Linked DNA regions of Arabidopsis thaliana. The protein of the gene in region 1 purifies or fractionates together with the protein of each later gene. This does not show direct contact. Each region holds a gene or a part of one and is shown in the gene's direction. Other genes may lie near its edges. The genes, in order: CPN60A and PAF1.

Region 1 (5,663 bases):
AAAAAATAAGGTGTGAGAATATAACTAGTATTCGGATTTAAATTTGGTAATATATATCATAATCGTCAAGATTTCAATTTGGAACTATAAGTACCATGAGCAAAACAAATACTCGCGAGGAGAAACAAAATGAATAAGGTAAGTGGAAGTGATAAAGACAGATAGATCTCAGAAGAAAAAAGGGAACACAACACATACCGATCGGAAGGTGGCCGGAAAAATCGTCGGAGCTCCGGTGGTGAGTTTAGATATGTATGTAAACCGACCGTGGGAGATAGAGAGAGAGACTGAGAGAGACTGAGAGAGAATAATGATTGCGTAAAGCCGTAAAATCTGTAATGGTTTTTTTCTTGACGTATTAAGGTGGGTTTTATCAGTCTTTCTATTACACGGTACTGTACTTACTCTCTTAAAAATCTATTTTGTCGGTTTTTTTCCACGAAAATTATTTTCTTCTTTAAACTGATACACATGTATCAATATCCAAATGAAACACATTTTTATACAAATTGAAACATGCAATAAACTACGGAATATCTAAAAAACAATAAAATTAACGGCCCTAAAATTAATTTTAACTAAATTCTTTAATAAAATAAAATAAAATCATAAGTCTATAAAGTATTAGTTATTTTATGGTAGTTTAATGGTTAATAATTGTTTTTTCATATAGAACATAGGAATGTGGTTAAATTTCAGAATTTTAATACACTTTTAACTTAATTATTTGTTTATATGAGGCACTTTAAGTTTTAGAAAACTATAAACACATATGCAAAACATCAAACCAAATTATGTTTTTGCATGTCTTTTGTTGCATGCTCTATATATCCTAACTATTTTTGCTTAGTAGTCCACTAAATTGTTTCGTTTCAATCACAACCACTCAAGAAAATAATTACAATAGATTACTAAAACAAGTTAACAACAGTGTTATTTATTTACTCTTTTTGTCGTAATGCTTTAAATTACATGTCTCTTTCTTTTCATCGGACAACTGTTAGTGTGTTTTTTTGTACATCAGGACAACTGTTAGTTTACTCATGTTTTCTACATTGTACATTTTGGCAGTCAATTTTACGGCACGGTTTCCATTAAAGATATGGACGTCATCTTATGGTAAGCTGCATCTTTTGAGGAATAATACATGTAGACGTCCCTATTTATAATTTTTGTGTTACGTAACTTCCCTTTTGTTATTAATTAAGTGTGTTTATTTGGTCAATTCACTCAATCAAATCAAACCCAACGCCAAACTGCAACTATTTATGTGATTGACGCTTCAGAGTTGAAACTGCCACTTTTGTCAGATTTATTATCTCACTTCCCAACTTTTCTTTTCCGTAACTAGTGAATTTATTCATGGGAAACTAATTTAATGCATGGTATATGATGCGTACAACAAGCAATACTTATATGAAAAAAGATTTAGAAACAAATTGTATTGGCTTAACTAAATCAATTAATCATGTAGCAATTAGGTGATTTGGAGTCTATTCTCTGTTTAGAAAAGTAGTAACTGTTGTCTTTATGAGAGTTTCTGTTTTACTTAGCGGGTAAATCTACTCTAAGCTAGGTGTTTTCATCCACTTAACATGTATTTTATAATCTCATGGTTTTCACAAGTCTTAAATTGTACTTATTAGTTTGGTCTAAATATTACTCCCTTTGTTTCATTATATTGGATGTTTTAGGGATTTTATTTTGTTTCAGATTATAAGATGTTTTACAAGTTTAAATTTAAATTTAATTTGACTATTTGTGACTATTTATATTTTGCAGTTTTCATTATCATTTTTTTTAACAAAATCTAAATACTATTTTTTATATACAAAATGACCTAATATGTATCCATTTACCTTAAACCTCTTATATTTTAAAACAGAGTGAGTACATTCAGTAAGAGAATGGATAAAAACGAATTTGGAATACACAAACTATAAAAGTTTCTTGAGTACTGTTTCTATTATTGGGCCATAAACAGTGAGACAAACAGGCCCATAGAAGTAGGTGAAAAAGGCTTATTAAGATCAACGGTTCTCTCGTTACGAATGCAAAGAATCTTCTGGATCCTTTTTCTCTCAGCTACTCTCTCCATTTATCTAATAAACCCTAACCCCTCCTCCCACACTATTCGTTTACACTAACCACTTCCTTATCCACACCAATCCAGAACGTTCCTCAAAAAGCTCCCTCCTTTTCTCTCAAAATGGCGTCTGCAAACGCTCTCTCTTCCGCCTCCGTCCTCTGTTCTTCCCGTCAGGTACAAAGTTTGTTCCTTTTTACCTTCCTTAGCTACTTACTAAAGAAGAAAATGAATCATCTTTCATTACTTTGTTTTGATTGGATTTGACCCTTCAGTGTTATCTATTTTCAAAAACCTTTCTCTATCTGGTTTATTGGGTTTTTGAAGAAAGTGATTGAATTTGACCCTTTAGTTTGTTCTGTTTCAATTCAATTGCTTTTCTCTATTTGGTTTCTGGGTTGGTGAGAAAAGGTTAATTTTTATGGGAATTAGAAGAAACTGATTGAGATTAATGTTAATGAATCTGCTTTATTGATGTTGTGGGTATACAGAGTAAGTTGGGAGGAGGAAATCAGCAGCAAGGTCAGAGAGTTAGCTACAACAAGAGGACAATCAGACGTTTTAGTGTTAGAGCTAATGTAAAGGAAATAGCTTTTGACCAGCACTCTAGAGCTGCTCTACAAGCTGGTATTGATAAGCTTGCTGATTGTGTTGGTCTCACTCTTGGCCCTAGAGGTATTTGTTAATATTAGTAGCTCCTTTACTCTTTCCATCTTCATCTGTGTTATTTATCTTTCGACTTATCTTGGTGTTTTCATTTGTTATTCTTAAGGGAGGAATGTTGTGTTGGATGAATTTGGAAGTCCTAAGGTTGTGAATGATGGAGTCACCATTGCTAGAGCTATTGAGTTACCTAATGCCATGGAAAATGCTGGTGCAGCGCTTATTCGTGAGGTTGGTGTAGCTTTGTTATTGTCTCTGTTAATGCTATTTATACGGTGCGGTAATCTGGTGTTGTTATGTGGTAGGTTGCGAGTAAGACTAATGACTCTGCTGGTGATGGGACAACCACTGCGTCTATCCTTGCTCGGGAGATAATCAAACATGGATTGTTGAGCGTCACTTCTGGTGCGAATCCCGTTTCACTCAAGAGGGGAATTGATAAGACTGTTCAAGGTCTGATCGAAGAGCTTCAGAAGAAAGCTAGGCCCGTGAAAGGTCGTGATGACATCAGAGGTACTAACTTTGCAGTGACCTTCCTTGTGATGCAGCAATGTTTGATTTCTTTTACTGATCAATCTGTTCTTTTTTTTTTTTCCAGCTGTGGCTTCTATCTCTGCTGGAAATGATGACCTTATAGGGTCAATGATTGCTGATGCCATCGACAAAGTTGGACCTGATGGTGTTTTGTCCATTGAATCTTCATCTTCTTTTGAGACCACGGTCGAAGTTGAAGAAGGGATGGAGGTATGAGTTTTTTTGTCTTGCTTCTCTTCAACTGTAATTTTATTCACCATTCATTGCCAATGACTAACTTGATTATTTACAGATTGACAGAGGTTACATCTCGCCTCAGTTTGTTACAAACCCTGAGAAACTACTAGCTGAGTTTGAGAATGCTAGGGTATTGATCACTGATCAGAAGATCACTGCGATCAAAGACATCATCCCTATTTTGGAGAAGACCACTCAGCTTCGTGCTCCGTTGTTGATTATTGCAGAGGATGTTACTGGTGAAGCCTTAGCTACCCTTGTCGTGAACAAGCTTCGTGGTGTCCTCAATGTTGTTGCCGTTAAAGCGCCAGGATTTGGAGAAAGAAGAAAAGCCATGCTTCAAGATATTGCAATCTTGACAGGTATATGCAGATTTCGCGTGCGTTTAGTACTTTTACTTTCTCTCTGTTATGGTCTAAACTTTTTATCATTTTGTATGTTTTTCAGGAGCTGAGTACCTAGCCATGGACATGAGCTTACTGGTTGAAAACGCAACCATAGATCAATTGGGTATTGCCCGAAAAGTCACGATTAGCAAAGATTCGACTACCCTCATTGCAGATGCAGCTTCCAAGGACGAATTACAAGCTCGGATTGCTCAGCTGAAGAAAGAACTATTCGAGACTGATTCTGTGTATGACTCAGAGAAGCTCGCTGAGAGAATTGCGAAGCTATCTGGAGGTGTTGCTGTCATTAAAGTCGGAGCAGCAACTGAAACTGAGCTTGAGGACCGTAAGCTTCGTATCGAGGATGCAAAGAACGCAACATTTGCTGCTATCGAGGAAGGCATAGTTCCAGGTGGTGGTGCTGCTTTGGTGCATCTCTCCACTGTTATTCCCGCCATTAAGGAGACTTTTGAGGATGCTGATGAACGTTTGGGAGCTGACATAGTACAAAAGGTAGCATTTAGTTTTTCGGTTCAGTATTTGTTCTGTAACCAATTGTGACTAGTTATCTTATAAGGGTTTATGTTTTGAGTTCAGGCATTGCTGTCACCAGCTGCTCTTATTGCTCAGAACGCTGGAGTTGAAGGAGAAGTTGTTGTGGAAAAGATTATGTTCAGCGATTGGGAGAATGGGTACAACGCAATGACTGATACATATGAGAATCTGTTCGAAGCTGGAGTGATTGATCCGGCTAAAGTGACAAGATGTGCGCTACAGAACGCTGCTTCCGTAGCAGGAATGGTACTGACCACTCAGGCCATTGTTGTTGACAAACCGAAACCCAAGGCTCCTGCTGCTGCTGCTCCTGAGGGTCTCATGGTGTAATCAAAACACAACATCTTATCATCACAATGGCATCTTTGTCTTTTTGCACATTTGTCATCCCCATTTATCTGCAATGTTTTTCTTTTTTGGGGGAATATGAGTAGTTTGTTAACAGTATCGAGAAATAATTATCATCTTTTTTGTCCAATGGAAATTGCAGAAAATGGTTATGTATGCGACCAAACATTTTATATGTAGCGAGAGTAGTTTAGCAGAACAATAAGCAAATATGCGTACAAACTGAATAATGTTCCAACTTACTATACTATTAAACTAGGAGGGAACAATGTTTTTTCATGCCTTTACTAGTTTTCTCATAAAACTTGATCTGGATATTGCACTTCGATGATCTACGAACCATTAGCAGATCTCCGGTGATTCGATACTTCTCCTTGTCGTTTATTGCACAGGCACGAACTTTGACAAGCACAAGACATGACAGTTTCTCTATGAAATGTCTCATTTCCTCTAGCTCTTCAATTGTTCCTTCATATTCAGTTATCTTCAATACTTTCACAGGACATCACAATCCATATATTCTTGTAAAGTTAAGTATATATACAGGGAGATCAGACTCGTTGGAACCACTCGTACTTTGACTTGGAACTGCTCCAAAACTAAAAGAATTTTTGGTAGATGATTATGTATGTATCCTTCTCTTCCTCCTCTTCTTGTTCTAGCTTTGATGGACTAAAATACTAGTCAAAATTTTGCTTAATATATACCCCTTATTGCTTCTCAGAGATATATCTACAAAACCGAGGATCTTCCATTTTGATGGAATCAACCGAGTCTTGTTCCCGGATGCTTGTCATCGCAGCTAGAGATATTCGAGTGGAAAGGATATAGAGATAGAGTAGAAGGGGAAAAAT
Region 2 (4,645 bases), on another chromosome or scaffold:
TGAAAACAAATCTAGAAAGTAATTATAAGTGAAAACATATAAAAACGTTATAAATCATAGTATATGCTAACTTTAACTAATCTATATAATAAATAAATTAAAATTTTGAAAACAAATCATCAAATATCAAATAAAGAATAATTCTTGGGTTCACTTCTAGGGGGTGAACCTAATTTATTCACCCCCTCTTTAATAACAAATCAATATTTGCCATGTTATTTGATTAAAAAAACTTAAAACAATTAATATTATCAAAATAAAATAATTAAAATAAATCATTAAAACCCCACTTTTTTGTAAATCCAAACCGATATATAATCTCGTTTAATTACCAAATCTAAGCCCTAATTCTCCTTTATAAACCCAAACCGCCATTTAGACTTATTTAATCGTTAAAAAACAAACCATAATCGTATTTTCTAAACCCAAACCGACATTTAACCTAGTTTAATTGTAAAATCTAAATATGTTTATAAGCCCAAACTAATATTTAACATCGTATAATCATAAAATCTAAACCCTAATCGTATTTTGTAAACCCAAACCGATATTTAACCTCGTTTAATCATAAAATCTAAACTCTCATTTTTTCTAATAAACTCAAACCGATACATAATTTTCTTTTAGTGGCAAATTAGATTTAATAGTTAAATTAATTTTTTATTATTATTACTAGTTTGTTAGTTGGGTTTAAAAGTTTCATCAAAGGAGATTTCATAATTGAATAAGGTAAGTGACGATTTTAAAATAGCTTGTTTTTAGAAGTTTTTCGTTCTAGGTTTGTTCTTATTGCATGTAGCTAGTTAGCGTCATGAACTAGTAACTGATCTTAGGGAGATAAAACCACAAAAGTGCTGAATTTATTTACTTGATCTAACATACATAGACTAGAAACTACGTTATAACAATACAAAAGCTTAGTTGTAGAGCTTTGTTTGTGGAGGTAAAGGAACTTGATCTCATTGGGTGATTGATTTTGTGGCTACAACAAAAATCTGAGTAGTTAAGTTTTTATCGATGCTACAAAATTCAATCCCCTAGTCATCTGTGATTCCAGTTTAAGGAACTTGAGCTAAACTGAATATGCTTTTGTTAATCTTCTTGTATGAGACAATATGAACTTTCGCGATATTCTTAAAGACTCAACGATTAATTATCATACAGTTGATAATAATAGTCGAAAATAACAATCGTTACCAATCCACTTCTATATTATGTATAAAATGATTAAAACTATATTATAAAACAAATAATAATTCAAATTTAAATAAATATTTAAAAATCAAAATTCTATTAGTGTTGTACAAGCACATGTTATGATCTACTTCATCACTATATTCGTCAAAACTAAAAATGTATGACTTTTCAGCTGTCATAAAAGTTTAGAAATATACAATAAATTAATTTTAAGATATCAATTTTAAAAATGATAAATGTTCTAAAATTTTAAATAGGATCAATCACAGAGACTTTTTTTTTGTAACAATTCAAATTATATGATTACTAATAACAAAATCGCAAAGTTTTATATTTATAAAATTAATTCATTTTTATTTAGTTTCAAATAATATACAAGAATATTCAAGCTAGTGTGCTCTGTTTTGTCTAATGTTTTTTTTTTTACTGAGAACTATTGACCAAACTCTTTTGTACATATTTAAAGATTCTTAAACAATTTCACATTTCATCAAAAAAAAAAAAAAGAATATACAAGGATTATCCTGTATAAAAACATAGGCCTAAAGTCTGTATAAAACATATGCCTAAAGTCTTAGCCCAATAAGCTAGATACCGAGCCAATACAAAGCCCAGAATTTAATAGAAGCCCATTAAATCGAGAGAGAGATCGAGAGCATCCATGGCTTGAAGGAAAAGAAAAGTTTTGTTTCTGAACTTTCGTCTCTATAAACCCTTTCGACGACGAGTGAAGAAGAAAGCGAGACGAAGAAGCAAAGATGTTCAGAAACCAATACGACACAGATGTTACGACATGGAGTCCAACAGGTCGTTTATTCCAAGTGGAATACGCCATGGAAGCAGTGAAGCAAGGATCTGCAGCAATTGGACTCAGATCTCGTTCTCATGTCGTTCTCGCTTGTGTTAACAAAGCTCAATCGGAGCTTTCTTCGCATCAGAGGAAGATCTTTAAAGTCGATGACCATATCGGTGTTGCAATCGCTGGTCTCACAGCCGACGGTCGTGTATTGTCTCGGTATATGAGATCGGAATCGATTAATCACTCTTTTACTTATGAGTCTCCTCTTCCTGTTGGTCGTCTCGTTGTTCATCTTGCTGATAAAGCTCAGGTTAGGCTTTTGTAGTTTGTTGATTGAGATTTGGTGGAATTTGGAATCGATTACGCTTGGTTTTGTGTGATTCGGTGATAAGTGTGTTGTAATTGTTAATTGAAATTTGAGGAATTTGGAATTCGATTACACTGTGAATCACTGAGCTCAAATTTAGCCATTAGCTTCTTGACTTTGTGCTTAGGGTTTGATCTGAGCTGATTAGGATTCTAAATTGCATTAAATAAGAGTTTTCTTAATTTATCATAGCAGAAACTTGAATCTTGTTTAGTGAAATTGTTTGCATGTTTGTTGTTACTGCTGCATAATCTTGTATTTAAAAGTTTAACCATAACTAAGAGCTTAACAATAGGATTCTAAAAGAAAGAGATTTGTGTTTCTTCTGGTGCTTTTGCTTGTTTCTGCAGTTTTTATTTGGAGTTATTGATTTTCAGTACCTCTAAGAAGTGAATTCCGCTCTTTGTTTTGCATCGTTCTCACCACTATGCACTTATCTTACCAGTCAATTACTCCTGCTAGGTGCTTGTTCGACATCTTTTCTGTAATTATGTGCTACTTCTCACTTTGTTTTTCCACCTATCTAATGGTTTCTTAAGTTAGCTGTTTTATCCACATCTGCATAAATACTTTTCAAAGCCATTGGGAAGAGCTCCCATATATTATATGTGTTTATAAAAGGAAGGGTCTTGTATTTCCTCATTGTCAAACTTTATTAGTTGGTTTACTCTTTTGTAGGAGAGATTTTACTTGACAGGTCCAACTTAAGTTACATTATTGTCATATTTCTTGTCTTTACCAAGGGTTTTTTTTGTTATATTTCTTGATCTGGAAAAGGAAATATTTATGTGTATGTTTGCCTTTATGAACAGGTCTGTACCCAACGATCATGGAAACGACCCTATGGTGTTGGTTTGCTGGTAGGTGGATTGGATGAGTCTGGAGCCCACCTTTACTACAACTGTCCCAGCGGAAACTACTTCGAGTACCAAGCTTTTGCTATTGGATCCCGTTCCCAAGCAGCAAAGACCTATCTGGAACGCAGGTTTGAGAGCTTTGGGGATTCTTCTAGAGAAGATCTGATCAAAGATGCTATTTTGGCTGTTAGGGAGACATTGCAAGGGGAAACACTGAAGAGTTCTCTCTGCACAGTCGCTATTCTAGGAGTCGATGAACCGTTCCACTTCCTGGACCAGGAAGCAATACAGAAAGTGATCGACACATTTGAGAAAGTGCCAGAGGAAGAGGAAGGAGAAGGCGAGGCTGGTGAGGGTGAGGCCGAAGCTGCCGAGGCTGCACCAGCAGAACGAGGTGGTGGTGTTGCAGGTGACCAAGACGTGGCTCCAATGGAAATGTAAGGCTTGTGTGTGTAACGCTGGAACTATTTTATTTCGATGTTAGTTGGATTTTTACTTTGCAAAATGGCTGCGGGTTTAGATTATATGCTTGAGAAGTTGAAACCATTTCGTCATTTAAACTCAATAGCTGCCATCAAGACTTTCTCGTATTCTGGTCTTTTGGTTTAAATCTGAAATCTGTTCACGACTTCCTATCTCTTTGGTTCTGCAATTCCTTGCTAAAAAAGTGTGTAGTGTCATCTAACTAGGGCTGTCAAGCAGGCCAAGCCAGCCTTGTTAGGCCTGCCCTGCAGAGGGTTTTAACAAAAAAATTGACCAGCCTCAAGTTTCCTTCGAAGGTTAATCTAAAATTTGTTAACCCAAAGAACTCCAGAATTTAATGTTAAATCGTAAATTATGATAAAATCATTAGCTCGACGTCATTTAGTCTAATAGAAAACATAAGTGGCCCCCTACATGGTGACGACTACGAAAGACTTTGGATAATGGGAACCATGTAAACCAGACCCATTGACTTTGCCGTCTCTCTTAATCATTTGCTTTATCCAGCATCCGTTCTCGTATATACACCAAATTAACCATCAAAGGAAAAAAAAATGATCAAGAGTTTATCATTGCATCTAAGAGCTAGTGGATCATATAAAATTGAATTAACAACGAACAGTCATGTTTTCGGTGTCAAAAGACATTGTGAATTAAACATACGAAACTACGTCAAATCGTTTAAGGCAATTGGAAAACACAAGATCTTTTACGGGTTCAGGTGTCTCGTTGTAAGATTATCCTACATTACAACAGGGTTTGAACGATAATCATTGTCAACCGTTTCTATCAAGAACATAGGAACTTTAAATTGTAGCAAAAACGCAATTTCACGATTTTATCGGCAATTTTTATATAAGTTCTGTACTAAAATGCTATTCCATATTTTCCAACGTAAAAATTCACATAATTCACAAATATAAATAATGCAGTCTGAAGCAA

What was found.
Region 2: the proteins of CPN60A (region 1) and PAF1 fractionate together in Arabidopsis thaliana (co-fractionation; one large-scale study listed by BioGRID). This does not show direct contact.

The regions. Positions count from the first base shown.
Region 1 is NC_003071.7:11,924,394-11,930,056, forward strand, and holds CPN60A (chaperonin-60alpha), read left to right. Parts: upstream 1-2,052; 5' UTR 2,053-2,209; coding exon 2,210-2,263; intron 2,264-2,577; coding exon 2,578-2,761; intron 2,762-2,858; coding exon 2,859-2,980; intron 2,981-3,054; coding exon 3,055-3,262; intron 3,263-3,347; coding exon 3,348-3,493; intron 3,494-3,575; coding exon 3,576-3,882; intron 3,883-3,967; coding exon 3,968-4,419; intron 4,420-4,503; coding exon 4,504-4,791; 3' UTR 4,792-5,095; downstream 5,096-5,663. UniProt on the Arabidopsis thaliana protein: Binds RuBisCO small and large subunits and is implicated in the assembly of the enzyme oligomer. Involved in protein assisted folding. Required for proper chloroplast development.
Region 2 is NC_003076.8:17,158,286-17,162,930, reverse strand, and holds PAF1 (proteasome alpha subunit F1), read left to right. Parts: upstream 1-1,774; 5' UTR 1,775-1,955; coding exon 1,956-2,306; intron 2,307-3,175; coding exon 3,176-3,661; 3' UTR 3,662-3,887; downstream 3,888-4,645.